Linked DNA regions of Drosophila melanogaster. The gene in region 2 interacts genetically with the main gene of each other region. Each region holds a gene or a part of one and is shown on either strand. Other genes may lie near its edges. The genes, in order: Cat, Cln3, Cisd2 and Sod1.

What was found.
Region 1: of Cln3 (region 2) and Cat, changing one suppresses a phenotype caused by changing the other (phenotypic suppression), as found in Drosophila melanogaster (one study listed by BioGRID).
Region 3: of Cln3 (region 2) and Cisd2, changing one enhances a phenotype caused by changing the other (phenotypic enhancement), as found in Drosophila melanogaster (one study listed by BioGRID).
Region 4: of Cln3 (region 2) and Sod1, changing one suppresses a phenotype caused by changing the other (phenotypic suppression), as found in Drosophila melanogaster (one study listed by BioGRID).

The regions. Positions count from the first base shown.
Region 1 is NT_037436.4:18,819,129-18,829,522, forward strand, and holds Cat (catalase), read left to right. Parts: upstream 1-3,475; 5' UTR 3,476-3,657; coding exon 3,658-3,714; intron 3,715-7,209; coding exon 7,210-8,130; intron 8,131-8,227; coding exon 8,228-8,770; 3' UTR 8,771-9,060; downstream 9,061-10,394. Other genes in the region: HipHop (HP1-HOAP-interacting protein), read left to right, coding at 2,179-2,844; Indy (I'm not dead yet), read right to left, coding at 10,095-10,385. UniProt on the Drosophila melanogaster protein: Catalyzes the degradation of hydrogen peroxide (H(2)O(2)) generated by peroxisomal oxidases to water and oxygen, thereby protecting cells from the toxic effects of hydrogen peroxide.
Region 2 is NT_037436.4:17,807,219-17,817,047, forward strand, and holds Cln3 (Cln3), read right to left. Parts: upstream 6,902-9,829; 5' UTR 6,842-6,901; intron 5,674-6,841; exon of another isoform or gene 5,578-5,673; intron 3,782-5,577; 5' UTR 3,772-3,781; coding exon 3,568-3,771; intron 3,496-3,567; coding exon 3,365-3,495; intron 3,277-3,364; coding exon 3,118-3,276; intron 3,059-3,117; coding exon 2,719-3,058; intron 2,662-2,718; coding exon 2,227-2,661; 3' UTR 2,013-2,226; downstream 1-2,012. Other genes in the region: CG32191 (uncharacterized protein), read right to left, coding at 1-554, 624-1,112, 1,202-1,361, 1,419-1,529; Ir75a (ionotropic receptor 75a), read right to left, coding at 8,444-8,669, 8,767-9,047, 9,105-9,717, 9,768-9,829.
Region 3 is NT_033777.3:29,220,200-29,226,062, forward strand, and holds Cisd2 (CDGSH iron sulfur domain 2), read right to left. Parts: upstream 3,230-5,863; 5' UTR 3,141-3,229; coding exon 3,044-3,140; intron 2,571-3,043; coding exon 2,347-2,570; intron 2,283-2,346; coding exon 2,202-2,282; 3' UTR 2,018-2,201; downstream 1-2,017. Other genes in the region: eEF1gamma (eukaryotic translation elongation factor 1 gamma), read left to right, coding at 98-109, 231-380, 444-1,577; Brd8 (bromodomain containing 8), read left to right, coding at 3,371-5,863.
Region 4 is NT_037436.4:11,109,264-11,115,394, forward strand, and holds Sod1 (superoxide dismutase 1), read right to left. Parts: upstream 4,478-6,131; 5' UTR 4,377-4,477; coding exon 4,311-4,376; intron 3,586-4,310; coding exon 3,190-3,585; 3' UTR 3,018-3,189; downstream 1-3,017. Other genes in the region: CG34012 (uncharacterized protein), read right to left, coding at 1-3, 66-212; emei, read left to right, coding at 574-576, 767-1,141, 1,242-1,537, 1,599-1,856, 1,925-2,099, 2,162-2,425, 2,482-2,601; FoxK (forkhead box K), read right to left, coding at 5,822-6,131. UniProt on the Drosophila melanogaster protein: Destroys radicals which are normally produced within the cells and which are toxic to biological systems.

The DNA.
Region 1 (10,394 bases), 1.0 Mb from region 2:
ACCTGTAGACATTTCGCATGCTCCAAAAAAAAATGAAGCGAGGCAACATGCCTTCCCTCCCTTTTCTTTTCTGTCTGTCTCTCAATATTAACGCTTTTGTTCGATACTTATGCCCACACTTTAATTAAAGCACGCACTTTTTTATAGAAAATCATCGAAATATTCAGCTTTGCTTCACTTACCTTGAGATTTTGTCCAAATATCTCGTTTCTTTGTTTGGCCTCTTTGTTGTGGTCCTAAGTACCGTTTACTGTTATATATTTATTGTAAACTGGCTGTGGTTGTTGTAATTCCTTGCAGCATTGCTTTTCACTTTACTTCACTAATGCACACACACACCACACACTCTCATATATGCAGAGATAGAAATGGGGAGACCATACACGAACGAAATTTCTCGTGCAGCAACTTTTTCTCTCTTTGCTTTCTTTCTTCTGCTTTATCTTTTTTTATTTTGTGTAAACCAGTATTTTGTGCCTTCTTTCACTTGTATGCTTTACGATGTTGTTGTTGTTGTCGTTGTTGTTTTATTCAAGAAATTGTTGAATAACGGTTTCTGTTAGCCGCTATGCTTTCGTGTTTGTTGTTGTTGTTGTCTTGAATTTCACTTTGCTTTCGCGTTTCACGCATTGCTGCTGCTTCTTCTTCTACGTCGCCGTCGTGTTGCTCCTTTTCGTATTTTACATTTTTTTTAGCCGTGGGAAACCTGTCCAGCAGCCTTAAAGCCGCTGTTTTTGTTGCTTTTCGTTTTTTGGCTAAACATTTTCATTGCTAAAAGAGCACTTGGGACTTTTATTTTCATAATTCATTTATCGCGCTGTAGTTGTGCGTATATTTATAAAGATAAAAGCAAGCAAACAGCGCAGCAAAATTCCAAATAAATAAAATTATTGTTGCTCAACGTTCATTGCCACACACACTCACACACGGCCAGACACTCACCAACACCAGCAGACAACGAGTCAGACACACACACATGCATACACTTTTTTTGGGGCAGCGTTTTTTGTTGTTTCAAGGCAACTTTATTTCTTGACTCTTTTTTTTGTATTTTCCTCCCCCGCAGGGAAACAAAGAAAATTTCACTTGTCTCGCACACTCACACCACGAAGCGCGCACACAGACACGGTGCCTTTCCCAAAGGAAATATTATTTAAAACATTTATTGACACAATTACAAGGTTTTTGCTTCTTTCGCTCGACGTTGTTATTGTTGTTGCTGTGGTTGTTGCCGCTTGCTTGCTTTTTTCTTGCTGTTGTTGTTGGCCTACTTTGTGTGTTGTTGCTGTATTTTTTCTCTCCTCTTTTTTTTGTTGCTCCAACTTCTCTCCTTTGCTTTGCTTGAAAAAATTTCACACGCGCCGTTTCTTTTTTTGTCTCTTCTCTTTACGTAAATTAGATTGCCATTTGAAGTTATCTTTCGAGGGATTGCACTTGGTATTAAGCTATATTATACATATACGTGTTGCACTACATTATATTTATAAAAATTATGTGTATTCGTTTGAAATTTTAATTGTGTTTTTATAAAAAGAAAATCAGACGAGACGAACGTATGAACAATGAATGACAAAAAATAACCTGGGTTTAATGGGCTAACATTTCGCGTCCAACAGCACGCTGAGTGCTGTTCGGCGAGCAGCTGATTTTGCAGTTTTCGGTATTTTCAGTATTAGTTGGTATAATTACAGTTTGATTTGAATGTGGTTTTAGGGTTTTAAAAAATGTGTTTTTAAACTCATTTTAATTGATACAACCAACAGAAGAAATACAGTCAATTTTCAAACTAACTGATATAACATAAGTATTTCATGAACATCGAACACGCCAATAATTAGATTATTGTCAATTTTAAACGAATAGTTTCTTCATATTAATTACTTAACTGGCATTACAATAAGCCACATTTAAATTGTGAGAAACTGTGACCATGTCAGTATGTTTTTAGATTTTATAACATTTAAAAAAATTGAATTTGTTTATTAGTTAAATGCATTTTATTTTACGCCTAATTTTGGTATATTTCAGCAATCCATATGTGGTCACACTATATGTTTCCAAAGTGGCGGGACAATTGGCTTCATGTTTCGTTTTGTTGCGTTTGGAAGTTAAAATGCCAGTGTAAGCATTGTTTTGTAAGCCCGAGTTGTGGAGAACTAGGTGCATGATCTATTCCAGATGGCCTCCATTGACGAGGGCTCGCGCGTTGAGCGGAGATTCTGCGCAGTCGGCAACCACACGCTGCGGAAGCCGTATCGCCAACTGAACAACAAATATTTGGTGCGCTTCGCCTGTTTGCTGAACAGCGAAATTCGGGCGGGCAACCTCATCTGCTGCAAGTGCTACACGGACCTGGTGCGACTCTACCGGAAGAAGAACGACAATGCCAAACGGCACAAGATGGCCAGGGAGACTGCCGCGAGCATTACGGACGTCAGCGGCAGTCAGTCATCGTCGCACCAAAGTGCGCCCTCTTTGCATGTCTCTGGCCAAAGTTCCGAATTCGGTGCCTCATACAGTGAGGGGGGCATTGTGACTCCCGATGAAGAGCTGTGCTCCCACAGAAGCTTAAGTCAAGATTCAGACAATGTGCCCACTACCAGCGCTGCAGCGATCCAAAAACGCCAGCTTGCGAGGGCAAACCTAATGGTGAAACCATCGCAGAGGCTGAGCTTGGCCCAGACTACTCCGGATTGCGACGACTACGACCCCAACTCGAATCTCAGTTTGAACGCCGTGAATGGCACGCGACTGCCGCACATTCAGCCGATTCCAAAGAGGCGCCCGACCGTCCTGGACAAGCAGTCCATGGATATTTACTTGATGGGAACCACAGGTGGTTAGGTGATTTTTTTAAGTTGTGACTAGAGAACAAGATACATATGCTAGTTGATGCTAGTTTCTAAGTTTCATTTAATTAGATATTTTTGTACGCTAAAATAAAGAAAGACAGAGATGTTAGCTTGGCAGGAGCCACAGAAAGATAGCCGCCATTTGGAGATTTCCTTGAAGTTTATAATTTTAACATGTTTAATGATATTTACATATATTATATGAATGAAGTACATTTATTTTAAAGGCACCACTGGAAGAGGTTCACAACTTAAGAAAAAAAGAGGCCATAGATATTTATTTGGCAGGAGCACCAATAGATAGCCGACTTAGTTTATAACTTAATGATGCCGACATTTTCATGAAATTAAAAAAATAAATAACTTAACAAACAGTTTAAATTTATTCACCTTTCTGGGCAGCAAATGGAGCGAAGGTACTATAAATTATCAATAATAAATCTTAATGGTGTTGGGACACGTTTTTAAATGGACAGTGCAAAAAAAAAACTTTGAAAATGAATTTCATACTATTTAAATACAAATATGAATAATAATGGATATTATGTAATATTTAAGCGATATATTTCCAACTATAATCGAAATATCGATATCTTCGGCCCACTCGACAACCCTGAGCAACAACAAGTACGTGGTGCTGGGCTATAAAAACAAATGGAACTGCGCTGCAGTTGCTTTAGTTGACAGAATTCTCGACGCAGTCACAGCAAAAAACCGAAGGCGGCTAGAAATCAACAACTTTCCAGTTCGAGTGTTTCTAAATTCTGGTTATCCCGTTGAGCAAATATCCTAAATTTTAAGCAAAATGGCTGGACGCGATGCGGCTTCCAATCAGTTGATTGACTACAAAAACTCCCAAACGGTGAGTGTGTTGGTGTGCGAGCGCGAGAGAGCGCAACTGCATGTGTGTGCGTGTGTGTGCCGGCAGGAAAATAAGAAAACAAGAAAGGCAAAAAAGACAAAAAGAGAAGGGAGAAGCATTGTACGAAATGAAATAAACAAAAAACAAGACAATTTCAGTAACGATTGCTATGAGCCTGTACTTTCCATTAATTCCATTAATTATTAAAATGCGAAAAACAACAAAGGCTTGTCCAACAAATGCCAGTAATGATGAAGTCGTTTCCCCAGAGTTCGAAGTTCAAAAGCCGCCTCTCTGGGTCTTCTATTTATTTGTAGAAATCTTATCAGAAGTGAACTGATAAACCTTATCAGTGTGGCAATTCTTATTGGATTTGTGTTTTCTGTACCTAATCCAAAGTTAATTTTATTTTCCCTTTTATTTTTATTTTCCTTCTTAAGGAAATCCAAAGTTTAGTCTAGCTAACCTATTTTCTAACCTTGGGCGACCTCTTACCTTAGTCTATTTTCATTTTTCAGCGCTGTTTTCACTTAGCACTTCCAATTTCATTTGGCACTTGCATTGTGCATTGGATTTGAGTATTCGAATTTGTTCGTTTGCACTTTTGTGTTAATTATTCGCTTTCGCTTTTGGTTTAGATTAAATGCATGATTTCAATTGTGGAATCGTGCCCTCTTAAAATTTTGAACAAATATTGTTTGTTCACACTCGGAAAATTGTACTTTCCTAAATTCGTGGCATTCCACAATTGCAACATTTTATACACTGCAATCATTTTTGAAATCAAATATGCTGTTACATTTTATAAAAAGGAATGAAATATAACAAAATCAATAGTAAGCCTCACCCATAGATACTGTATCTATATATAATTTACTCGGCAATTTCCCTGTGGTTTTCCCAATGCCCTCTAAAAATCGATAAATGAAATAATAATTCTGCATAGCTATTTGTCAGCCAGTTGATAGGCATCCAAAACAGCTAAGTAATTGGCCCAAATAGATTAGATGTATCAGCCGTATAGATATTGTTGAGTGCCCACATTTGGTTAGTAACTAAAGTAAATTTCCATTGGATTTCGATACTTTGTAAGTATGAATTGTCAGTTCTCAAAGAATACAATCATTTTTTGTTTTTTAATTTAGTATACCTTTTTTTTACCCTATTCAATTAAGGCTAAATCTAGAACTTAGTTCTCGCATCAGCGATTTAAGTGCATTTGTGCATTGAGTCACGAAGCCAATTACTCCACTAACTAAAAGCAATCAGCGGTCATTATTTTATATAAACAAATATAGATATGAACTTTTTGAGAAACGCGATCGCTGGATTGCACCGCTTGTAAGTTGGAAAATTCGTTGGGAGTCAATGGACTCTGCGGCGACCGGCTCAATGTTGCACAAACTGGTTGCAATGCGCATCGACTGCGAGTGATTCGAGTGACAACGAACCCGGCTTTAAACCCGTTTTGGGTTGAGTGCGGAAGGCTAGACCGCTTCGGAAAATGCGTGTGCCAGTGCCATAAGTCAACGCAAATTTTCTTTCTCCAATTTGGTTATGCAACCTGGCTGGAACGCCCGGCTAAAAGCGACTGTATGTGAGAATATGTTTCGAACTGACCCAGAAAAGAGAGCTAGCTCCACAGTTGGTTGGTTGGTTCGTGTTGTTTTAGTCGATTTTGACCTTCTATGACGAAACTGTGAAAACTGCATTCTGTCAGGCAATTAAATGTTTGCCTTTGTTTCGGTGAATAATCATGGCAACTGGGTTCTTTGTTCTTTTGGGAATCTCGCAATCGAGTTAATTTGTTATCCAAGAAATTCGAAAATGCAAGGAAAATACTTGGAATATTTTGCAACGCAATGCATATTGCGTAAGGTCATTGTGAGTCGGTTAAGAACCCTATAAAAATCCTTATTTAAAATCCTTTAGCTTATTTTCTATGCATTCTCATTCTCGAATGAGTAACCTTCTGCTGATAAATTATGTCTAGAAGGCAAATTTATCTCATACTATCAGGTGCACTGATCTTATAAAGCCGCCTCATTAAGTTGCTGTTTGCCATCTTTGTGTCATTGGCATCGCCAACAAGTTGCAATTAAAAACTTTCCTGTAGACTGTGTTCTTTGCATTTCTATTCGAGATCGGTTGCGGTTCTCTTATCAGTTTGCTCTTCGCTGGAGATATCTACAACCAAATACATACATACATATATAAGAACGAAGGCTCTGATAGGAACCAGATTGACTTGTTGGACGTGGATCGCAGTTCCAGCGGTTCCACTCGCATTGTCATTCCCGGTTTGCTTCACTTATCGTATCTGCCCCCTGAAGTGGCCCCATATTAATGTCTCAAAGTGCAAAACATTCCGGCTGAATCGGCCGAATCTAAAGGGTGACTCCAGTATAAATTCCAGAATGATAATTTCGAAATTATATTCATTTCTTCGTTTTTATGTAGCGCTTTTTGTTTGTCAATAAGTGGGTATACTACTGGCCTGTCTAAGCTGATTTTATTATTAAATAGATACATATATACTTCTAGGAACTAAGATTTGATAAAGTCAACTACTAATTCCTTAAACAATTGTAAAAGTCTTAGTGCCCAACCGGGTAATCCCAACCCAAGTGCTATATGTATCTAAATGACTTTGTTGTGAAATATAAACAGTAGCTTAATTTATATGTTTGACACACCACCACCACCACCACCGGTGGCTTCACTTTGATAAACAACCTTCTGTATAAAATTCTATATGCATTGTTCTAGAAATGCTTTCGAATTAGAATTTCGCATGGCGTTGTTCAGGTTTCAAATACATTAGCTAAACAGTGCGCATTGGCCGGTGACAGTTTTGCAAATTGTTGGCTGAGTTAATTTTATAATGAGTGGCTGGCCTGCATGCGAAATAAACGATAAGGTGATTAAGGAGCGGTCTCGGATTACTCTAGGGAAATGAATTGAAAACAAGGAGTATGATTAGATCGACTGATAAATGACAGGACAGCTGGTGGGCTAATTGATATTTCAGATGGACAATACACTTTTATTAGCTTAATGGAATGAAATAATTAATTGATCGCCAGCTAATAAACTGTGTAACATCATTTTGATGTTTGAATACTTTCATTTAATTGGTTTTTTCCTTGCACACGGATTTGATATCTTGACATGTTAATGCAAAAAACCCATACATCATCACTATATTAAGGCCTCAAGCTCTTAAGAACACCTGGGATCTCTTATTTTAAATTTATATGCACTGCAAAATGACCCCCCGTGTAGAGATAACGCTCTGCAATCTTTATGTTAATGTTTTTTTCTTTTGGTGAAAATCGAATGATTAAATGAAAGTCCGCGGGCCAAAAATGAATTATCGCAATAGGCCCGATAAGATTGTAAGACACTTGAACCAATATATTGTTGCTGAATGTTGCATAGCATTTTAAAATTAAAATACATTTGATTAAACTTGACTTTCATTTGCTTTTGCAGGTTTCTCCTGGTGCCATTACCACCGGCAATGGAGCACCCATTGGAATCAAGGATGCCTCCCAGACGGTTGGTCCGCGAGGACCTATCCTGCTGCAGGATGTGAACTTCCTGGATGAGATGTCGCACTTCGACAGGGAGCGGATTCCAGAGCGTGTCGTGCACGCCAAGGGAGCTGGTGCTTTTGGTTACTTTGAGGTGACCCATGACATCACCCAGTATTGTGCCGCCAAGATTTTCGACAAGGTCAAGAAGCGCACTCCACTGGCCGTGCGATTCTCCACCGTGGGTGGTGAGAGCGGATCTGCGGACACCGCCCGCGATCCTCGAGGATTTGCCGTCAAGTTCTACACTGAGGATGGCGTCTGGGATTTGGTTGGCAACAACACGCCGGTCTTCTTCATTCGCGACCCGATCCTATTCCCCAGCTTCATTCACACCCAGAAGCGCAACCCGCAGACGCATCTGAAGGATCCGGACATGTTCTGGGACTTCCTCACCCTGCGACCGGAGTCCGCTCACCAGGTGTGCATCCTGTTCAGCGATCGCGGCACCCCCGACGGTTACTGCCACATGAACGGCTATGGCTCGCACACCTTCAAATTGATCAACGCCAAGGGCGAGCCCATCTATGCCAAGTTCCACTTCAAGACGGACCAGGGCATCAAGAATCTGGACGTGAAGACCGCCGATCAGTTGGCTAGCACTGATCCGGATTACAGCATTCGCGATCTGTACAACAGGATCAAGACCTGCAAGTTCCCCAGTTGGACGATGTACATTCAGGTCATGACCTACGAGCAGGCCAAGAAGTTCAAGTACAACCCCTTCGATGTCACCAAGGTCTGGTCGCAGAAGGAGTACCCTCTGATTCCTGTGGGCAAAATGGTGCTGGATCGCAATCCCAAGAACTACTTTGCTGAGGTTCGTTTTTTTTTTTTGTTTCAAATAGATTCTTCTTCATTTGAGATTAATGCAATCAAAAGAAAGATAACTAATATGGTAATTTTCTGACCCTCAGGTGGAGCAGATCGCCTTCAGTCCCGCTCACCTGGTGCCCGGCGTTGAGCCCTCTCCGGACAAGATGCTGCATGGTCGTCTGTTCTCCTACTCGGACACCCATCGCCATCGCCTGGGACCGAACTACTTGCAGATCCCGGTGAACTGCCCGTACAAGGTGAAGATTGAGAACTTCCAGCGGGATGGAGCCATGAATGTGACGGACAACCAGGATGGTGCCCCCAACTACTTCCCCAACTCGTTCAACGGTCCCCAGGAATGCCCCAGGGCCAGGGCCTTGTCCTCCTGCTGTCCGGTGACTGGAGATGTCTACCGCTACAGCAGCGGCGACACCGAGGACAACTTCGGCCAGGTCACCGACTTCTGGGTGCATGTGCTCGACAAGTGCGCCAAGAAGCGTCTGGTGCAGAACATTGCCGGCCATTTGAGCAACGCCAGCCAGTTCTTGCAGGAGCGGGCCGTCAAGAACTTCACCCAGGTGCACGCCGATTTCGGTCGCATGCTGACCGAGGAACTCAACCTGGCCAAGTCCTCGAAGTTCTAAGCTGAGCGAGCGGATTCGACGGATCAGACTTGGTTTTTGGCCTTAATTACGATTAATCCAATGGAACTAATTATTCCAACACCAACACCACCACCACCAACACCACCCATTCCGAAATTGACTAAGAAAGGCGAACGCTTTTCGGATCTTTGGTTGCGGGCTTAAATTGATTTAACCACGAAATGTGTCTTGTCTTGTTTTGATATTCAAAATTGTTTAAGTCATAAACAAATTACACTTACAATGTATATGTATATGCAATGAATATATAATAAATTCTTTATTTTTTGATATAACTGTTTGGAGATTCTTTAATTTTTTGGGTCACTTATAGTCGAGCTCTTAATTCCCATTTAAATATTTCTTCGGTACCCTGAGAAATTACTACTTCGAATGATTGAACTTAATCTTAATCAAATTTGTTCCTATGAAATATACATCAATTTAATACTTTTTGTAATGATATTTTTATTACCATTATCTCCTATGAGTAAAATGTTTTATTTCTCCGTAATTTTGTAAAAATATGTATTTTATTTGATGAATTGAAATTTCAGCTACAAGTGTCCAGTAGATGTAAAACTGTGCCAGTGAGTCTTAAACCTTTTCAGTGAATCGCGCATCCCTAGCAGGGCGAGTTATCGATTAATTCGAGTTATCGTTATACGAAATGCATGGCGCGCTTTGAACATCAAACAAAATAAGTTATTGAAATAAACAAACGTATAGTATTATTGTCGTTTGAGCTTTTTATTATTTAATATTTTTTACAAACTATATAAAACATAAATCATCTGAAAATGTACACAGTATCATTTAAGCTTAGCCTACCGCTATTTGTGTGTTCATTTTGGTTCGCAATGAAGTATTGAGTGAGTTGTTCATTTAAAAATTTTTACAAGTTGAAAAACATGTATGAATATGTAAGTTCTCTCAGTCTAGTTATTTAAAATATTAGCAGGCCAGGGCTGCCATTGAACAAACTGTTCTAACTTTTCCAAATCTTTTCCATTTTTATGCTAAATGCAACAATTAAGTAACATTAATTTGTATTTAAATATTTAGCTGAGTGCGTAGACCAGGTGTTCAATTCCTGATTAACAGTATATTGCGATACGTTTTTTTTTTAACACATTTTTCTAAACAGTAGGTAATGCTTTTGTATCAAAACTTTTCGCAACTCTGAAATGCAAGTATACATAGTTAAATATTTTTCACATTTTTCGCTGTCAGCAAAGGCACTTTTCGTTTAAAATTCCCTAAATTTTCCTCAACTTTATCGCTGTGACGGGTATGTTAGTTATTTACACTAATTACTAACTATCTAGTGCGTCTTGTTTCCCAGTGCTGCCGCGGCATAAATCTGAGCCCATTCGGGGAACGAGTTAAGGTTCGGATAGACGACCAGGCCCCAGGTTTGGCAGAAAACAAACAGGGTGATGATGGTAATGATGGTCGGACCGATTCCAGCAATGGCCATGTCCTTCGTCCTAATGTTGGCATAGCCAGCAACCAAAGCGTTGGGCGGAGTACTAACCGGCAGGTGGAAGGCCATACTGCAGGCCAAGCCAGCGGGCAGGATCAGGTACAGAGGATGGATCTCAATGGCCAGGGACTGAAACAG
Region 2 (9,829 bases):
GTTGCGCACCGTAACTGCATAGCGACTGTCGCGGGGATCTAGGTCGTCCAGTTCTCGGTAGGTGAGCACCGAATCGTATCGACCGGAGGCAGTGGTGCCATTCACATACTTCCACTGTCCCATTTGAAGAGCAGAAAGTCGCCAAACGTCGTCCAAGATGTGCAAAATCTCTCGAGGAACGTGGGGAGCATCTGCGGATCCGGATAGCTCGGGCCACAAATCGATCCCGTCCAGTTTTAGAGAGCTATCCAGCTCTATGTCCGCAGCACGTGAAAGCGTGGGCAACCAGTCGGCGACGTATAAGGGCTGGCGGAAGATGGAGCCGCGTGCCTGAAGCCCGGAGCTCCAAATCGCACCAGCCACCCGTACGCCGCCCTCCCACGGAGTATTCTTCTGTCCGCGGAGTGGGAAATTTGAACCCGTATTAGAGAACATACCAACCGATGGAGCTCCATTGTCCGAGTAGAAGATCACTATGCTATTCTCCAGTTGATCTGTAGAAGACAGAGCGGTTATTATACGTCCCACGCTCTGGTCCAGTTTGGAGATCATCGCTAGGGGTTAGATTAGATATGTGATAAGTCATGTTTGGGATAAGCATTTAATTATTAAAGTGTAATTACCTGCATATTTCCTTCGGTTTGGATCCTTAATGTAGGAAAACTTTTGAATCTCTTCCTCGGGAGCTTGCAGAGGATCATCCTCGTTGGCCGTGTGGGCAGCCAAGTGGCTGAGCATCAGGAATAGGGGTTGCTCCTTATCAGCATGGTCTTTGATCAATCGTTCCGCCTCGGCGGTTAACAAATCAGTTACATAAACCCCACGATCCCGGCACTCCAACTCCATGTTCCGCCGGAAATCGTAGCCCAGACTATAGTTGGCCACCGGCATCTTGGATCGTCTCTGGAAGTAGTCTATATAAGCGCCCCAATAGCCGAAGTGGTAATCGAATCCCCGCCGAGTGGGCGTGTATTCCGGGCGCGAGAAGCCCAGATGCCATTTTCCCACCAGGTTGGTGGAGTAGCCTGCCTCCTTGAAGATCTCCGGCATCAATGTGGCATTGAGGGTCAGGGCCCAAGGCTCTTCGTTGCTGATTACAAAGTGCTGTGTGCCTGCGGTAATCAATATATGAATTGTGTGGGTTTGATTCAAATCATTGATAATAACAATCCCTGGTATACAAAAGGTAATCGATACTAACCCGTGTGTATTGGATACCGGCCGCTGAGCAATGCTCCCCGAGATGGAGTACACATTGCCGGAGCGTAGAGCCGATCCAGTAGACGACCGTGATAGGCCAGGGCGTCGATATTGGGAGTTAGAAACTCCCGTCCGCCTCGAAAGCTCACATCATCGAAGCCCTGAGAGAGTGTTTGCTTTAGAAATGGGTTGATTTATGACGGCGAAACTAGTCCCACCATGTCGTCGGCCATAATGATGATTATGTTGGGGCGCCGTGCTGCAGCAGATTCGTCCGACTTCACCCGTTGGAGGCAGAGCAAAAGCAGAAACGCTGATAAGCCCCGCATCTTGGTTACTCAACTTACGTATTAGACAATCGCGTAATATTCGACTGCCTTGCACGGCAGCTACCGATCAACTGAAACGGCGAGCGGTCCACGTAACATCTCGCCCCAAATCGGTTTGGGTCTCGATCTCCCAATCTGTCTCAGCCGGCATCTCACTGCCAAACCGATCGTTTGGCGTTCGATTTGAAACCGATCAAACCGAATTAGAAGCCACAAGCAACAAGTTTATTTAATAACCGAGCAGCTCCATCTAAGTAATTATAATGTGTAGGTAGTGTAAATACGTACAATTTAAGAGGCTTTTTGTTGGAGACAGTTGAATAAACTCAGAGCAAGTGGGGCGCATTCTGTCTGGGATCAGTGTGCTTATCAAAGTGGTTAGCCGTGAGCACTTTGTGCCGAAAAAGCCAAACTTTGCCAAGGAAAACATTTTCGGAAAAGTGCTTGCATCTGGGTACGTTGAAATTAAATGAAATCGAATGTACAGTGTAGTGTTTATTTTTTTTTTTTATTAAACTAAACTTATAGAGTAGTCTAACAGCAGCATACTAACTATACAACGATCTATCTGGTTACCGGATGTCCAGTGATCCAGTGATTAATACTATAGGGACATGCACAGACACACACGCTTATTTGGCTAAACACGCACACAGTAAAGGCATAATCTGATCCTGATTCTGATCCTCGATCCGTATCACCAAACAAGGCTTCTGGCCGCGGCCGGAAGACCACAGATGGCGTTGTGCACGGGAATGGCCAGAAATCCGGCCAGAGCAATGCCATAGGAGTCCGACTGTACCACCATGGCCATGGCGAACTGCTGGCGCTCCGGCGAAATCTCCTTGGACATCCGATAGAAGGTGTTCACGTAAGCACCGCCGCCCAGAAGTCCCTCCCACAGGACGATGGCGAACACGATCCAGATGCTAGGCGTGTACCACCAGATAACCTCGGTGAGGAAGTATACCACGTTGACGAACTGGAAGATGGACATCAGCCAGATCTTGTCCAGCTGGAAGAGATTGACAGAGGAGCGCGAGATAAAGACTCCGATCTGATAGTCCACATTTAGCCAGCGGTACTGCGAGTCCTTGTCCAGGAATATATCTTCAAAGTAAACCAGTTCGAACTGAAAAATGGATGACAATGAATGTTTTTTTGTATGAATTAAAGAAAGCTAAATTACCAATCCTTGATTGATGAAGTATTCGAAGAAGTAAACCAGGCAAAGGGGCAACATATATTTGAAGAGGTGCTTGATATAGAAGAGCTTTTCCTTGAACCCAACTAATGGCTTCTCATCGCTGATCAGGACTTCCGTGGACTCAACCGTGGTAACCGGCAATATATCAACTTGTGGACGACGAAGCAGCAACCAGAATGCAAAGGCCTCGATCGCAGGGAAGATCAGCATAATCAGCATAGTATCTCTGGGACTGAAGTCTAAGGATCTCAAGCTAGCATAGCTCAAGGATCCGATAACTCCAGCGCCACCAGTTCCGGACGACCAAGTGGAGATCACATTCCTAAGAAAAACATATGGAATTAATGATATTTTGTTTAGTACTTTTACCAGACAACTCACTTATTGTATCGCGAAGAATAGGCCAAGAAAGTGGTTTCTCCTATTCCGCTGCTAGCCGAAGTGATGATGACACCCAAAAGAGCCATCCATTCGGCATTGGCGAATCCAACCAGGAGGAAACCAGCTGCAGAAAAGGCCACGGCAAGAGCTATACGGAAACTAATAAATAAAATGCGATTTTGTGTTAGTATCATATCAAGTTTAATGCATCAAATCAAATTTATTTAATATTGTAGATAGTACTCACTTCACCCAAAATGGAAAGAATGGCATTAGAATCTTGACAAATAATGAGGGCAGCACGTCTGCCAGCAAGATGGCACCTGTTGAAACCAAGTGACAGTTTCTTCCCGACGAGCTTTCTTCCGATTCATCATTCTAAAAAGAAAAAATTATGCAGGCGAACAATTAATAAATGTATTAAAAGTGCTATAATCCTATTGTAATTACCGGATTAAACTGCTTGATAATATCGTGCGCAGCACTCAGCATCACCACGTATCCGTAGTTGTTGCACAGACCGAGGATCCAGTAGGAAGTAAGATCCCGCCATAGACCCCGATCTTGGCGAGAGCTGCGAGAGGCGTCTCCAGGGGTGACCACCACTTGGGGATCATGTTCGGCCTCAGCCTCTTGCTGCTTGGTTGCCGTCATATTGAGCCGGCTAAACAAAAATTAAAAAACCCTTTTGTTTAATATTTTTAGTGCAAATCCAACAAATTTATTTGATTCACTTCATAACTTTTTTTACCATTTACTATCTCTAATCTAAACTCATCTAGTTTCTCCTAAGAAATCAACAACTTATTTGTCTCTAAAAAAATTAATGTTGCTCTTTTTAAAAGCTTTAGCATTTACGCAAATTGTTTAATTGGTCAAGCGTGAACGAAGGTGGTTTTAAGACTTCAAAACGGCAACGAAATCAATATCACGTTTTTATAATAACAGTTTCTTTTAGTAGCTTTAGTTCAACATTTATTTGTTCCAAGAAACAAATCAGCGCCGTACCCTTAGTTCATGATCACCTTACTTAATTTACTTTGAATGGGCCAACTATTAATTGAATTCTCTTTCCCAGCTATGAGCTATTTATACTCTTAAAAGAAACTGCTATTCACTCTTCTAAGCTGAGCAAATACTACTGCTCGAGTCGAATTTAAATAAATTGTTTAATTTCCCAAGCCGAGCATGTGCGTAAGCAGTCTTGAACTTGACATAATATGGTCACTAGGGGAAGTCGCTAAAATATATGGAAAGTACGTGCAATAAATGCTTAAAAATATACAAATTGTGTTGAAGGTAGGAAAAGACAGCTGTTTAGTTCAGACTCAGGGTTTGACGGGTTAAAAGACTCATATTTATATAGCTAAGTGCCTTGCGGGATATTTTCACGGGAGGTGCACACGTATTTCCTATTTTACTATTTGAATTTGTAATAAAGTAGCCTATTACTATTACTTTACACATTTCTCAGGCATTTAACTATGCTATATAACTAGCTAATTTGCAATGTTTGGAGGTTTTAAATAAATAAGATTTTAGATAACATTCAGCTGTAGCGGGAAATAAACTACATATGTGCGATTTTACCGGATATATAGATGTACGTATATATATCACAGTTTTTTGGCAATGTTTTCGGTGGTGCAAAGTGCAGATGAATTGATTTGTTTACATCCGACAGAACTTGTGACTGATAATAGATCGAAGAGGAAATGGGGACAACAGATGGGATAATATAATCTAGACCGTTCAATGCATATATTCCCAATTCTCATTAGCGCCCTTGACTGGCAGCTTTTAATTATCCAGATCATTTAAGTTAACCTTGCAACAAGCCAAACCAATTCAAATAATGTAATCAACAGTTAGCACGAGCCCTGTTAGCCAACAAAGAAAAGGCACGCTAACTGTAAAATAATTATAACAAATTAACTAATTTAATTAATTCAGAGACCAGGCAAATGCTTTTTAGCCGTCCTGCACTTCGTTGGCCACTGACTCATTCAAGAGATTCACTTGATCCATTTGCGCAGTTATGAAGTTGTTGACCCAATTCGCAGTGCACTTTCCTATCCAGTTACTTTTGCTTGCTATCAAAAAATATGATACCCGATACTCAAAATTTATTTCGAAATATCACTGGTAAATTGAGAATGCTAGATCTTGCATATATCTTGAAAAAAAAATTCTGAAGCATAGAGTGCTTAAAGGGATTTTCGTTTTCAAATATAACTTTTTAATCAGTAAATTAATAGATAAAATAATTTTTTTTCCATAAGAAATTTTAAGCCTTTGATATTTAATTTCGCATTTTATGTAATATAATATGTAAAAGGTTGAATTTACAACAAATGTAAAAATGTTTACATAGAGTTAACTTTCTATTGCACTTTATAACTTTTCATAGCACTAATGGGTTCTTCAACTGCTCTTGTTCACTATAAAGTACAACCGTACATCTTGCCACTATTTTTCGGCTTGGTAGTTCTAAGGTTCCGAGAACTGTTGGATACGACGGCGACGACGATTCGCGCTTCGAGGCGATCGGTGAGTGACTGAACCTGTGCGAACCCTCCCAACGGAACGAGAACCAATAACAAGCGGCGACTACAATGGAGCCAAGCGGCTGGGAGCCCAAGTATGAGGTATCACGCGAGTTGCCAGCGGCAGCATAAAAACTAAAACAATTAAAAGATGCAGCAAGTGCCAAAGTGCCGATCAGCAGGTTGATCGTACGTAGATCGCTAGCAGGTAGCACACATTACAGATTACATATATAGTATCATTTAATTCAATTCAATTCGATTTGATTCGATTTGATTCGAGCGGCAAAAGCGGGGGAGTTGAGGTCGGTCAGCGAACGTCACGTTTTTCGAGTTGGCAAGTGCATTCGCATTGGGTTTAGAATACCCCTTCTTCTCAAGAGTGCGAAGATAGCGATAAGATGTTCGAATTTCTCGATGGGGGAAAATCTGCGAACCTTGTGATTCTTTATGGTGGGAAATGCTTATCGGCTAGCGGTCTTTGGCATTCAAAGATCCCAAGCAATCCGATAGTCGAACTGGTATAGATTAGATTATGAAGATATTGTGTCACTACGAAGGGTTCTTAAAGATTTTCCAATACTTTTGAACGCATGTGCTAGCTCTTGATTAATGTATTGAAAACGATCAAGTTAGCAACTGTATTTTGGAGGGTATTTCAAACTTCGTGTTTGTGTTAGCTTTCGTAATTAGCACCTGTTATTGAATAAGTCATAGCTATTTTAATTACGCTTAACTTTAAGTTAGGCAGTTTAATTGCGGATAGCGCTGTTAGCTTTAATTTGTGCTGCCCAATATCAAGTAAGCTCTAATGGTCGTTCCCTCTAAGTTTATTGTTTTTCAACGGGCGCACGTGGCGTATGCGTAATCCGAAAAGTGCTCCTAAGCTCAAAAACACCTGTTTTCTAGTAGAAAGATTTTAAAAAGTAGTATCGATAAATTCACTTGTTTTTTTTTTTTTAAAGTTACACAGTAAACCAAACGGAGGTCATTTAACTCGATGACAAACGGTTCGGCTATGCAAATCACATTTACCCGTTCAACTGGAAATGCTGGCTAATTTTATAACAATTTCATTTGAAACGGAACCCTGAGATACTTTCTACGGCCATAAATCCGGCGTAAAATGCAATAAACATTACTCCCCCGAGTGAATACCAAACACCAGCCGTACGTACACTTTCGAATTATTTCCGGCTGCCACTCAATCCGCTCGAGCAATGAAAATCTACTGAGGACTCGTCGAATACGGGCCTAGATTACAGCCGGACCAGTTGCAATCGACATTATCATTATCGTTAAGTGGCCAGCAGATTAAATTACAGATAAGACGTTCGCAGCATTGGGCCATATAAATCTTAAGATATCACTGGCAATGGCAATTCGTATATGACAGGCTCTGGGGAACAGAAAGGGTAATCAAACTGATGAGGTGATGGCCATAAGCCCGCTTCCCCCTTTTTATCTTTTCCCGTACACTTAAGTCTAATAATCGTACCGGCCAAGAGTTTGGTCATAATAAATTTCTCGGGTATCGTTTTCCCATCCACAATAGCTCCGTTTAAATTAAATCCGTTTCGCGCTCATTTAGCACGTACGGAAACCGCCAAAACCAATTTCACACCGCAGCCGCAAAGCATGGAACACTTTTTACTTGCCACAGGGCTATACATTGCATTTAAAAAAGAGAACATGTTGTTGACAAATTGCAAAATAAAGTGGTTAAGGCTGCTAGGGATAAAAAGGGACACCCGTGTTCGATGTTGTAAATAATAAATAATTCACAATTGCTTGTCAATTTCGAGTCACTCCAAAGTTGTCCTCCCTGCGAAGGGAAAGTAGTCCTTTCATGGCATAAACTATGGCCAAAGCGATGCCCTGTTGACAGCCAGATTGAGTTGACAAATTGTTAAGGCAATTTGTTATAGTAATACTTTGGGAATTCCGGAATGCCAGTGAGTGCTGTTTGGCAAGCAGTTGTGTCAGTTGCATTTTAATGGTCGACTGGGAGTCATTTAAGAACGAAGTTCTTAATACTATTTGCTTGACTTAGGCAAATGTAAAATCTTGAAAAAATATATAATTTACTGCGTATTTGATTAGCAGCCATATAATACCATTTATTTGCTCCTACACCCAATTTAATAATATTTGTGCGAACTCAACTCACTCTTATTTATTGTACAATCAATTTCGATAAAGCTTTGACACGTCCCTTCCCATATTTGTCGCCTCTGGCGATGCGCCATCATTAAAATACCATAAATCATCTCGGGGCAACATGCGATGTCTGCGGTAGGGAAACTACTGATTCCGGTGAAATTCGGGGAAATGCGAAAAACACAACTGTTAACTGTTTCTAATAGGCCGTATTAGGCTCACAATCAGTTATCTAACATTCGCACGTGGCATTGGGGAACAAAGTTTCAATTCGAATGTGGCCGTGCACGAAAATGCAAATAAAATGGCTCCAAGAGAATGAATAAAATCATTGCCAAAAGGGAAAATGGAGTATAAAAAGTAACCGCCAAACACGAAAAGTTTTTAATGCAAATACGAAAATCGCATGGAAACATGGCCACCACGTCCTTTGCAAACCCCTTTATCCATCCCTCCGTTTAACGAGCCGTGCTGCAATTTTCCGGCGCGAAAACAGGAAGTGAGGAAAGCGTCGCCCTGCATAATTTTGCGATGCGAAAAGTTAACGCAAAGTGTTTTTATTTTCTCCTGGGTGCAAATAGAATATAGTTGTTACAGCAGCTTAAAGCGATTTTAAAGCACTACGGGTGAAAGGTGAGATGACGCGTGAAAAAGCGCTTCCAGGCCAGTTCCACCAGCAGGATTACCACGACCAGGATGTCGGCGCAGATCAGCATGAGGAGCAGAGGAGCCACGTACTCCATTCCCACGGTGATGACGAAGTTCTGGGCCACGCAGTGCAGCTTCATGTGCACCCAGTAGCTGCGCTGCTTCCGGTAGACACCAGTTTCCAGGATCCTAAGGAATCTAAAATAATACATACGATTTTAATACATTTAAGATGTTTTTGAATAGCATAAAATTTAGTTATACTTGCTTTTGGAAGAGTAGCATAAGGGCTTACCGAAGTCTGAAGAGCTCCTTGTACGTGGAGTTGCGATGTAAGTGCGTGTAGAATAGCTGCTCGGGTCGAAATAGAACTTCGTTCAAATCGCAAATCTCTTGAGCCGTAAAGTACCGCTCCACATATGCATATCCGGAAGAGGTTTCGAACACGTAGACATAGCCAGGATTATCCCTGACCCTTAAAACACCCTGCTCAGCGGGCAACCAGAGTTCAGGATTCTGGGTCTGCGATTCGATTTTGCGTTTTATGAACAAGTGTATTTCCGGTAGTCTTGAGTACTGAAATTAAAAAAGCTCTTTGCAGTTAAGAATGGTTAGGAATGGAATGAAACCAACATTTAGGTAGCTCTTGGTGAAGGGAAGTGGCTCCAAGCCCACGGTTAGGGAACTCTCCGCCAGCTGCCGCATCGTTTTTATCTTGGACTTGACGGGCGAGCTTAGTAGAGATGAAACGACTACGGAAGTGTAGTAGTTGTACATAATAAAGCTGATCAGGAACAGGGCGAAGTAAATTAGTCTGCCTCCAGCGGATCGTGGAATCAAGGACGAACTTTGGATGCAGGCTGCTCCAAAACTGATCAGGAAAGTGCTCAGCAAAGAGGGTAGGTAGTCCAAGCGCCATCGTTTTTGCATTCGCTTGCACTCCATATAAAAGGTGATCCACAGGAGGACACCAATCAACGAAAGTACTCCGCCGAAGAGATACCAAACCAACGGACTGAAGGGCTGCAGGAAAACATCTCCCCGGAGTCCCGCATTGTGGGGTGTCCGGAAAATGCAAACGGAACGAAAAAATCCCGTCTCAATAATGGCAGACAAATACTTAAGCCTGCCTTCAGTGGCCAAAGAGGGCGTGGCCGTAAGATCAGCAGTCTGGTCCACTACAGCACCCACAGAACCACCTACCACATCCGATTTACTCCAGCTATCCGAGAAGATGAACTTCATTCTGAAGGAAAAAATATGAACTCTACAATTCCCACTTTACATAAAACTTACTTGCAGTGTAAAAGATCTCTCAGGATGAGGGTCAGGTGGAACCCGAATCTAGCTAGTGAGTC
Region 3 (5,863 bases), on a different chromosome or scaffold from region 2:
GGTGAGTGCGTGTGCTCCGCGTTTTTTCGCTGAATTTGCCACTATATCGTATTTAATACTGTATTTGCAGGCAGACGATTTAAACGGCGAATCCACCATGGTGAAAGGAGTACGTACGCACAAGGGCAGTGAGGATTTTCCAATCCGTGGCTTCGAGCCATGTGAATTTGCGAATTTCCAGATGCCGGTTAGCTGCCACGATATCACAACTAATCCACCCATATTTGCAGACTCTGTACACTTACCCCGAGAACTTCCGGGCCTACAAGGCGCTCATCGCAGCCCAGTACTCCGGAGCCCAGGTGAAAGTGGCCGACAACTTCAAGTTCGGCGAGACCAACAAGTCGGCTGAGTTCCTCAAGAAGTTCCCCGGTGGCAAGGTGAGTCCGCTTTTTTTGTGGGTGTGGCTAGTGCCAGGTCATCAACACGATATGTGCCCGTAGGTGCCCGCCTTTGAGACCGCCGAAGGACAGTACTTGAGCGAGTCCAATGCCATCGCCTACCTGCTGGCCAACGAGCAGCTGCGCGGCGGAAAGTGCCCCTTCGTGCAGGCCCAGGTCCAGCAGTGGATCTCCTTCGCCGACAACGAGATTGTGCCTGCCTCCTGTGCCTGGGTCTTCCCCCTGCTGGGCATTCTGCCGCAGCAGAAGAACAGCACTGCCAAGCAAGAGGCCGAGGCTGTGCTGCAGCAGCTCAACCAGAAGCTGCAGGACGCCACCTTCCTGGCCGGCGAGAGGATCACATTGGCCGACATTGTGGTCTTCAGCAGTCTGCTCCACCTGTACGAGTACGTCCTGGAGCCCAGTGTGCGCAGTGCCTTCGGCAACGTGAACCGCTGGTTCGTCACCATCCTCAACCAGAAGCAGGTCCAGGCCGTCGTCAAGGACTACAAGCTGTGCGAGAAGGCCCTGGTCTTCGACCCCAAGAAGTACGCCGAGTTCCAGGCCAAGACCGGAGCCGCCAAGCCCCAGCAGCAGGCTCAGCAGCAGAAGCAGGAGAAGAAGCCCAAGGAAAAGAAGGAGGCGCCCAAGAAGGCTGCCGAGCCCGCCGAGGAGTTGGACGCCGCCGATGAGGCCCTGGCCGCCGAGCCCAAGTCCAAGGACCCCTTCGATGCGCTGCCCAAGGGCACCTTCAACTTCGATGACTTCAAGCGCGTGTACTCCAACGAGGACGAGGCCAAGTCCATTCCCTACTTCTTCGATAAGTTCGATGCCGAGAACTACTCGATCTGGTTTGGCGAGTACAAATACAACGAGGAGCTGTCCAAGGTGTTCATGTCGTGCAATCTCATCACCGGCATGTTCCAGCGTCTGGACAAGATGCGCAAGGCGGCCTTCGCCTCCGTTTGCCTGTTCGGCGAGGACGGCAACAGCACCATCTCCGGTATCTGGGTGTGGCGCGGACAGGATCTGGCCTTCACGCTCTCCCCCGACTGGCAGATCGACTACGAGGTCTACGACTGGAAGAAGCTCGACGCCAAGAGCGAGGAGACCAAGAAGCTGGTCACCCAGTACTTCTCCTGGTCCGGCACCGACAAGGACGGTCGCAAGTTCAACCAGGGCAAGATCTTCAAGTAATCATCTCTGCCTAGCCCAGCTCCGCTCAAAGCAGCAGCCGCCCTCATTTAGACCAACAACAACAACAGCAGCAGTAACAATAAAGTTTGAGATTTAAAATGCAGGAAGAGCACAATGCCCATTTCTTAAGTTCCAACTGATAAGTACACTAAAGATATCCAATATCTGTCGTGCTGCCTCCCACGTTTGGCGGAATCGTGTGTCTCGCCTCCTGCATTTTGTACTGGAGAATTTGTTTGTAACCGCCTAAGCATAACACAGCATGATATTGTCAACGGAACAGCCGCCTGCAGTCAGAAAATATTTATAAAAAATAAAAGGTTTTCTATTAATAACAGCACGGTTTTCTCTCACACGTGTGTGTATGTGTGTGTGTGGTTTATTTGGTTGTTGGTAAAGGTTAGGTCTGGCATTTATTAGTAATTAGAATTAAGCATATCGATTTGAATTTATGTTTGGGCAATTTTATTGGCTCCTTTTAACTTAATCCATCAATATCATCAATTATTGCTTACAATTACAAGGGTTCAAACAGCTTCGGCCACTACTATTGGTTTTAAAAGCAAACTGGAGCTCAGCGAGAGGAAATGCTAGAACGTTTGTGTATCGATGCACCGCCGCAATCTACTTCTTGATGACAATTGGTCCGACGTTGTCTCCAGTCTGCTTGTTGTGCTCGCCATGACTGCCATCGCAGTAGGGCCACTGCGAATAGAGGATTCAATTGAAAATTTTGTTCACAATATTTCAGAGGTTAGAATGCACTCACGTTCTTGGTCTTCCAGCAGCGACAGAAGGCCGCCTTCTCCGCAATATCCTCCACGTCGATCATGTCCACCACCTTGGGCTCGTTCTTGCGGATGTGGTTGTTGCAGCGTCCGCTGTTTTTGGCCGCGCAGCTGGCCCGTGCCGCCGGACAGTAGGCCAGGTAGGCGGTGTAGCCGAGTCCGGCCACCACCACGGTGGGTGGGATCAGGGCCAACCAATCCTTGACTGCAAACGAAACCAGGTTAATACGGAATGCAGTGCATTTTAAGCTTTATAACTAGATATTTTGGTCGATCAGCCGTAACCGGCACAAGGTCGTTCCCTACACACATATTGGGTTATAAACGCACCAAGATATGCGCATATATGTTTATAGGTATACCCATGTTGGTATGCCTGTATTATGCGTCTATCTAGTTGCCTATCTGCGAGACAAACTTGCTCCAATTATAAATTTCTTGGCGAGCTCAGCAGTTGTTGCATAATCGCTGCAACTTTTTTGCCTGGAAGTGCACACACTGCACTTCCAATTCCCGTTAGCAGCTCCGCAATATCACGCCACATTTGCACCTTAGTAGTCCATTTAGTTGGCCCCCCTAGATGCTGCGTCATTATCGTGGATTTGGGTTTATGTGGGGCGCCCTTTGAAGGCAAATCAAATTCCAATGGGCAAAACCACGCTCATTGCCCAAACTTACAGGAGAGCTTAAACCAGCCGCCGATGCTGTCGGGAACCGGCAGACTTGACAAGTAATTGGGCAGCGAGGACTTCACCAGATGTGATATGGGCTCCATTTCGAAACGCCTTTTTTATTTAACTGGCTATTAAATTCGGAAAACTTGTTTTTGTGTTGCTATCGGTTAGCGGTGCTAGCAAATCGATAAGCCAGTCCTATCGGTATCGCAGTGCTAGGGTCACACTGCATTTTCGACGATAGGCAGTATTACAGATTCGTGTGTAGTCATCGATAGCATTCTGTTTTGTTTACGAATTATTGATTGAAATCAATAAATTGCAGTTTAGAATGTCTGCCGGGGTACAAGAGCGCCTGCAACTGAGCCGCATGCCGCTGGACACGTGGTCGAAGCGGGAGCAGCTCATCCTGGCGTCGGCGGTCTCCTGCAGCGGCGACCAGAACTGGATCACGGTGAGCCGCACGCTGAAGACGATCTGCGGCAATGGCAGCAGTAACCGACCGGCGGACTGGTTCTCGCAGAAGAACTGTGCCATGCAGTACGGCAATCTGCTGGAGAGCGTGGAGGCCACCAAGCGCAAGAAGCGCAGCAGCGAAAGCAGTGCCGGCGTCTCCTCGCCGGCCACCGTGGAGACGCCCACAGAATTGCTGCTCCGTCGGCTCACGGAGGAGCGTCAGGCGGAGATCAAGGCGCAGATGCGTCAGGATCAGGAGACTTACCGACGCATCCAGCGGGAGATTGAGTCGCTGCAATCGGACGCGGTGACCGAGCAGGAGCTGCAGGACATGTGGCTGGAGATCGAGAAGGAGCAGGAGGCGCGCCGCATCGAGGAGATGAAGCTGGAGAATCGCATGCGGGAGCGCGAGCAGCGCAAGAAGGACCTGGCCAGCAACTGGCGAAACAGCAGTCTAGCCGTCAAGCGTTCCAACCAAGCTGCCGACACGACTTCCGTCGATATGGACGTGGAGGACATAAACACCAGTGGCAATGGCAAACAGCAGACGGGTCCTTCGCCTCTACTCACATCTCTCCTGAAATCGCCCACAGGCAATGCACCTGCAACGCCCACCCCAGGAGGAGCTGCACCAGCAGCCGGAGGAACTGGCAGCGTGGCCAGGGCTACGGCGCCAACCATCACCTCGCTGCTGACCAGCGGTCCAAGCTCAGCTGTTGCCAATCAGCCAGTCATCACCATGAAGAGCCCCACAGATGCGGCGTTTATGTCCCGACCTATTACCGGACCTCCGGCCAGTGAGGCTTCTACTACGCCCACACTCGAACGGAGTCCCTCGCAGGCGGCACCCACACTCTCCATGCTGCTAGAGAAGAACATGGCTGCGGCGAAGGCCAACGAAAGCGGAAGCTTGGTAAAGCCAGAGGGGTCAGGAAACCAGGAGCAGGGTGTAGACGAAGCCACTTCTTCTGCAGCTGGCACAGCAGACTCCGACGAGGCGGATCCCAACGAAGCGCAGCTGCTGGAAGTCTTCAAAAACATTGATCAAATAATAGATGACATCGACATTGATATGGCCAGTGTCATTGACGATGAGATTCTGAAAAATGTGGATGACGTCGTAGCCTCGCCATCAAACGATAAAGCCGAAGTTATTGACTTTGAGGACAAGCTGGACGCTTTGAAGCGGGAGCAAAGTAAAAGTTCCCCAGCCAGTGATAAACCAAAATCTGTGGAGCTAGTAATTGGATCCAGCGATGACTCCAACGACAATATACCCCTGGCTGCCGTGGCCTCCCAGGAGAGTAAGGATCGTGGTCAGTCCGGTGGTGAATCTACTAGGGGCACCGAGGACGCAGAGTCCGAGCCGTTGACCAGCGAGGTGGCGGTGGAGGAGATTGGTGAGACCATTACCATTATCAGCACTTCAAGTGAGGATACTGCAGGATCGCCACCCACGAAAATGGAGGAAGATGGGGCCACTGATTCCCTTCCGAAGAAGGAGGATGCCGCGGAAGACAAATCCGAACAGGAAAGTAGCTCCCAAGGACAAAATAAGGCAGGAGGAAGCACGGACGAGCCGGAACTAATAGATCACCAAGCCACTAGGGAAGCACAAAGCAAGTCAGGCAAGGACACAGCGGGAAAGCCAGTAACAATGCAAGAAAAGACGACCACTCAGTCCGCTCCGGTTCCTGTGGATCTGCACGACACAGACGAGGAGTCGTCTTCGTTGACGGACAGCAGCAAGCACGATGACCATCCAAGGAGTGCAAAAGCTAAGCCCCCGGCATTGAAGCTGGCTCTGGATGACTCCAAGTCGGAACTGGAGCTGAGTGGCACACCTCAGCCACCGTCGGCGCCAGCTCGAACGCCTTTGCTACGAAAACTGCCGCATCGGGATCGGTCCGAAAGTCCAATGGTGGACGATGACGCCACAACAGCCAGCGATCATTCCACTGCTAGGTCCACACGTCGCCGCTGCTCCTCCACGCCCGTTATCGACAGCATACCCAATTCTCCCGCCTCCAGCGAGCACACCGACGATCGGAGAGAAACGCGAGCCGCCTCCAAGAAGCTCTTCCTGTCCATTTATGCCATGTTGCTGGACAGCAAGCATGCGGCTCCCTTTAAGCGTCCCTTCCACGACGAGCACGCCCAGCGACATGCGGATCTATGCCTACGCCCCATGGATTTCCCCACCATCAAGCGGAACATCGACTCGGGATTCATTCGCAGCTTGAGCGAGCTGCACAGGGATGTCCTGCTCATGGCCCACAACGTTTTGGTGGCCTACAAACCACACACGGCTCAGCACAAAACGGCGCGTTTGTTCGTGCAGGACTGTCAGGCGATCAAAGAGTTCTCC
Region 4 (6,131 bases), 6.7 Mb from region 2:
TATCTGAAACAAAAAAAGGCGATTGACTGAATCGGTAGGCTTGAAAATTTGAATCGCATCAATACCTCTGGATGCTGACAGAGATATTCCCAGTTTCCGAGACGTAGTTGTTTTTGGATTCGCGATATTGTGCTGTAATGCTTTATATCCCGCGATTCCCACTTTCCAAGATCCCAGATCTTGGTGAAATTTTGCTTATTCCCATGCGACATTTTTCAGATTTCACAGGAATTTGGATATAGCTAAATAGTTTTATTTAGGAAACTAAAGTCAAAGGAATGTTGTTAAAACATTTAATTGAAAAACTCACAAAACAAAAACAGTGAAATTAGGTTAAATTGAACATTTCCAGATTTAAAAAAACCGCTAATCTGATTCGCGAAAAGTGTGCCATATTTTATTTCGACGTTTTTCAGCAAGCAAAAACGGTCACACTGCCCGCACAAAAGAAAATTTTCAACGAAAATTGTTCGAGATTTCCGTTTTTAATTAACAATGATGAATTAATTAACGCTGGAATTAGCACAAGCTGTAACTTCACACATTTTCTCGGCTCCACGGCAATAGAAAGCGATGGTAAGATGAGTGGACATGACGGAAAACTGGACTTTTAATTGGGTACAACTGGCCAACCGGCTTGCCCGGAAAAATGAAAAGTCCGCCGTAATAATGGACCAAAAATAGACCGTAGCGCAGTGACCCAAAAATAGCCACTACATGTGCTCCCAAATGTCTTCTAATAAGCTGTCTCTCGAAACCATTGCAGGCTGTGCTGGGCGCCCAATTGGTCATCACCTTGGTGATGGTCAGCGTTATCCAGAAGTTGAGTCCACACTACTCCTTCGCCAAGTGGATTCTGTGCCGCACCGGACTCTATCGATACCTGCATCCCACGGACGATGAGCTGCGGTCCCGCGGCGGTGTGCCCAAGGAGAAGCCACCAAAAGGTGGTCGAAATAAGCAGGCAAATGGTTCAGGAGGAGCGGCGGGTGCACAATTCCACATACCGCGCAGCATTGAGGTGGAGCTGTTGACGTCACCGGTGTTGGAACGGGATGTTGTCCACCTGCGCTACTTCACCGAATATCAATGGCTGCTGGACTTCAGTGTCTACACGGGGATCGTCTACGTGGTCTCCGAGGTGGGTAAAGCTCGGGTTGTTCGCCTGAAAATCCGACTACTGTGATCCTAGTTCTAGGAATGCATACCATAACTTACTAATTTTGGATTCCCCTCCACAGCTGTTCCACTTCTACTACCCGCTGCGCCACGAGGTCAACTTGAGCATGGTGTGGTGCCTGCTGGTCATCTTCTTTGCCCTGAAGCTGCTGTCCTCGCTTACGGTGCTCTACTTCCAGAGCGAGGAGTCCATCGGCGAGAGGTCGATGGTGATTGTTGCCTGTTTGGTTTACCTGCTGGTGGCCATGGTCGTGCTGATCGTTGACGAGCGCATTCTGGAGACGGGACTGGAGGATGCCTATGCGAGCTTTAATGCCAGCGCTTCCAAGTTCCTCACCGAGCAGGGCCTGCCATCATCGTGAGTTCGCCCCTGTTTCGCGTATCTCTATTTATTTACACTCTTATTCTTATTTTTTCAGTGGTCCCGCCTCCAAGATCGTGGTCAAGTTCTTTTTGGCCATGGGTTGCGGCCTGCTCGGCTCATTGTTCACCTTCCCCGGCTTGCGGATGGCCAAGATGCACTGGGATTCGTTGAAGTACTGTCGCGGCAACCGGTTGCTGCAAGTGCTCCTGAATCTCAGCTTTGTGCTGCCCTTTATTCTGGTCATCCTGTGGATTCGGCCCATTAGCCGCGATTACCTGACGGTGCGCGTCTTCCAAGGAATGCAACAGCCACTGTGAGTTAACCTACTCACATTAAATTAGTTTTTACTAATTAACAAGTTCATCCCGATTATTTTTGCAGACTGAAGCCACACGTTTTTGAGACACTTCGCCTGCTGCTAGTGATCTTTGTGGTGGTGGTTCGTTTCGCCTTGATGCCCATATATCTGCAATCGTACCTGAATCTGGCCCACGACAAGATCATGGATCTGCGCAAGGAGGCCGGTCGGATCACCAACGTAGAGTTCAAGCAGAAGGTGGAGGCAGTCTTTATTTTATACAAACGTTCATCGAGTAAATCCTCCTTTCCCTTTTACAGATCTCGTCTATTTTCTACTATCTATGTGTTGTGACGCTGCAATTTGCTGCCCCACTGATCCTATGCCTTTATCTCACACTTATGTACAAAAGTCTGGGCGGCTTTAGCTGGTCGGGTATTTTCCGCGAGAGCGTTGTCCTGCAGCACGAGTGTGCGGCTAGCGAAACGGAAGGAGCTGGTGTTGCCGTTTCCCAAGGAGATGGTGACTTTAATATTATTGAGTCGGCGCAATCGCTGCAGGCTTCGTTTAGCAGCCTGAAAAACGTAAGAATCCTTGCTGTGCACGTCAATGCCAGTTTTAATCATAATTTCTTTTTCAGGTTTTCTCCACGGAGGTGTACAAGGGTTTCCTGGGCTTTGCCACCTGGTGGAGCTACTTCACCCTATTCGCCACTTCATCGCTGGGCATTGTCTACCAATCATATTTCAACAAGACCTAGGTTCATTTAAATCCCCGTCGTAGTATATGACTTTGTTCTTTTGTAGTGAATTTATACCGCACACGAAATTAATATTAGTTTCTACTCATGTGGCGAGTATCTTGATTTACAATATTTTTTGTAAATAATACTACCTAACTCATTGTTTATAAAGTGTGTTTTAAAGACTTTTAACCAGGCTGCCCGGAGAGTAACCAAAGTAATTACAAAAATAAATAAATAATCTAAAACGGAGATATGTTATCAAAACATGAACGAATGTGTGTCTCATCGTGATTTTTGGGTTCTGCACTCATCTAATATGTAATTCATTTCATACGAATCTATAACCCGATTCTACTTGCGAATTCGTCGAGCAACAAGTGATATATTCATTCTTACCATCTCAACTCAAATGAAAACTATAACTTTTGTTTATGGGGCAATTTCAAAACACCAATTTATTGAACCTCAAAGGTTGCGTATCAACTAACAGACCACAGGCTATGTATTTATGTTTAGAAGTATGTATATCGTTTGTATATCTCCAGTGGGTAGTGCTAAATAGAGTAGATCAGCACAGTGGCCGACATCGGAATAGATTATCGCTTAGACCTTGGCAATGCCAATAACGCCGCACCCGATGCGGGCACCAGCGTTGCCCGTTGACTTGCTCAGCTCGTGTCCACCCTGGCCAAGATCATCGGCATCGGCGTGCACGACAACGGTGCGTCCGATGATGCTGTCGGCGCCGAAGAGCGTAATCTTGGAGTCGGTGATGTTGACCTTGGTGGGGCAGTCGCCGGTGGCCTCAATGTTGCCCAGATCGCCCAGGTGACGATTCTCGTCGACGGGAGCGCCATGCTCCTTGCCATACGGATTGAAGTGCGGTCCGGACGACATGCAGCCATTGGTGTTGTCACCGAACTCGTGCACGTGGAATCCGTGCAGACCCTTGGCCAGGCCGCACACCTCACCGGAGACCTTCACGGGCGTACCGCTGCTCTGTGGACGGGATGAAGGGATTGGGTTATAACGCTTCAGATAATACTCGAATACTGATAAGACACAAGTTGTGTATAATAGTGAGCAGAAGCACTGATTATGATAACGAGCGTGGCCAACTTCATATGATAATAGGTTATTATAGAAAATAACATTTGTTAATAGACACACGTTAAACGGAAATATTTATAGGCAGCAAAGTAAACATTTGGTTATCTTTATAGATTAAAAACATAAATTTCCTCGGCACTGAAACATAACCTGTAATCATCAAGTTTATAATCGTTTACTTGACACTTGACATTGCTGCTTTGACTTTGATGTACAAATTAATTATGAACAGCATCATTCTAATTATTCCCATATTCCTAATGCTTATTCTAAAACAAATATTTGTTGATATTTAACGATACTTTACGAACAAGTGAGCTTTATATCTTAACTCCTTTTTATGTCCAGTACCAATTTCGTGACCTTTGCTGTAGGCACTTGAGCGCACACACATATGCGCATTTTGGTGCGGCTTATATAAATATAAAGGTGCACTTGCTGGGTGACTAGGCGTAAACTCAAATCGGACTTAATTAAAATGCTCGACAGAATTTAAAGCAGCATATTGAAGTGGAAGAGGGGGCCGCGGGTGCAGCCGGCTATTTGACCTTTAGAACTTCTGTTTTTCGTACATTTTGCCGAGCAGAGAAGTTCAAATGATTTTGGATTCTCACCTCCTGTTCGAAGAAAACCGTGCCCTTGGCATCGCCGTTAATTACGCAGACAGCTTTAACCACCATTTCGAATGAATTAATCAATTTATCAAAACGAAAAAAGTTGAGAACTTTCCAGGTATCTTCTATGGTGTGACCGTAGCAGAGCAGCTTAGAAATACATGCGGAACTTTTACTGTTAGTGTTCAGTTGTGCAAAAGTTTCGTTCACACTATTATGCCGTTACTGGAAGCATTTTTTCTTTGTAATATTTCAAGCTCATGTTTTATTGGGACATTTATTTACATTTTTAAGGATAAAAGCTACAAATTACAAAATTTGAAAACGGAACAATTTTACTGCACAAATGGCGTTGAATTTTTTGAGCTGTTCAACGAACGGGTGGTTCACTTGGAAGCCTTCCATTTATTCCAATGACAGTGGCGGGAACTATTCAATTTACTTTGTTTTGTATAAATAAAAAACGAATCCAGGAATTCCCCAATAAATGCCCAGACTTGATTGCGCTCCTGTTGACTAGTATCAACTAGTATTCATTCATCTATCTAATTCAATTAAAGCAGGTAAATATTAACAAATTGAAACAAGAAAGTTTACATTTGATTTTTGTTTTTTTTTTTAATACACAATTTGTCCAAACACTTAAATGGGATTTTCTTCATTAATAAGAAATAATGTGCTATCATTTCAATCTTTATATATTGTTATTGTATCCGTAAATTTGTAGATATTACTTATTTATTTTCATCATTTTTGTTTTTGTTTGTATTTTAATAATTTGTATATATATTAATATAGATATACATATATATATATACACATATATATATATATTATATTTAAATCGATATAGGTAAAGGTATGTAGATAGGTAATATTATTCATTCGCCTGTTTGTTTGTTTGTTTGTTACTTGTGTGGTTTGCTTGCTTGTTACTTAATTTTCCCCAAATTTTTTTTCACGTTTCTCGCACAATTCGGTCACATAGCTATAACATCTTAAACATCATAATCATCAATCATTACAATAATCAATCGCATATATCTAGATAATTTTGCTTTGTTTGCTGCTTTACCTTGTTGTAAACTTAAAATTTATTATATTACTTAGAGAGTAGCGTCATCGAGCATATTGAATTCGTCAGATCTAGGGGATAAAGTCGTTACTTCGAATCGGGTTTTCGAATTTTCAAAATGTGTGCTTGCATAAGTCGCCGCCGTTGAACGGCTGCATGGCCAACATTTCAAACACAATCATCTCACAGTTGCTATTTGTAAAATGTTCCATATCAATTTACATATACATTGCTCTTCGCGTGCGTTCATGTTCCTTAAGTTCTGCGTGTGTGGCTATTTAATTTGATTTGTATTTCGGGGTTTAGGTATAGGTTTTTGATTGGCAAATTCAATATACAAGATGGAGATACTTTTTTGTTTTTGCTTTCTAATCGTTTACACCCATGGGCCTCACTATTTGCCCTTGTTCTGCCGGTGCTTCTGGATCCGCACGCATCAGAGCACTTCCGACACATACTTGGGTCGCTTGGCCACGGTGGCATCGGTGGCAGTGGTGACGCACTCCTCCTCGCTGGCCTCAATGTGGCCGCTGTAGTCGGTCGGCAACTCCTCGTAGATAATCTCTGAATGCTGTTGCTGGGCCACGGCCTGCTGCTGATGCAGCGTATGCTGCGATGCCCCGCCGCCCATCACATGGTTCCTCTTTAGCGCAAGCAGAGCTCCAACCCCGCCGCCTCCGCCGCCGCCGCTCGCTGCGCTTCCTTCCACATGCGTCTGTGGTGTGGCCACTCCAGAGCTTTGATTG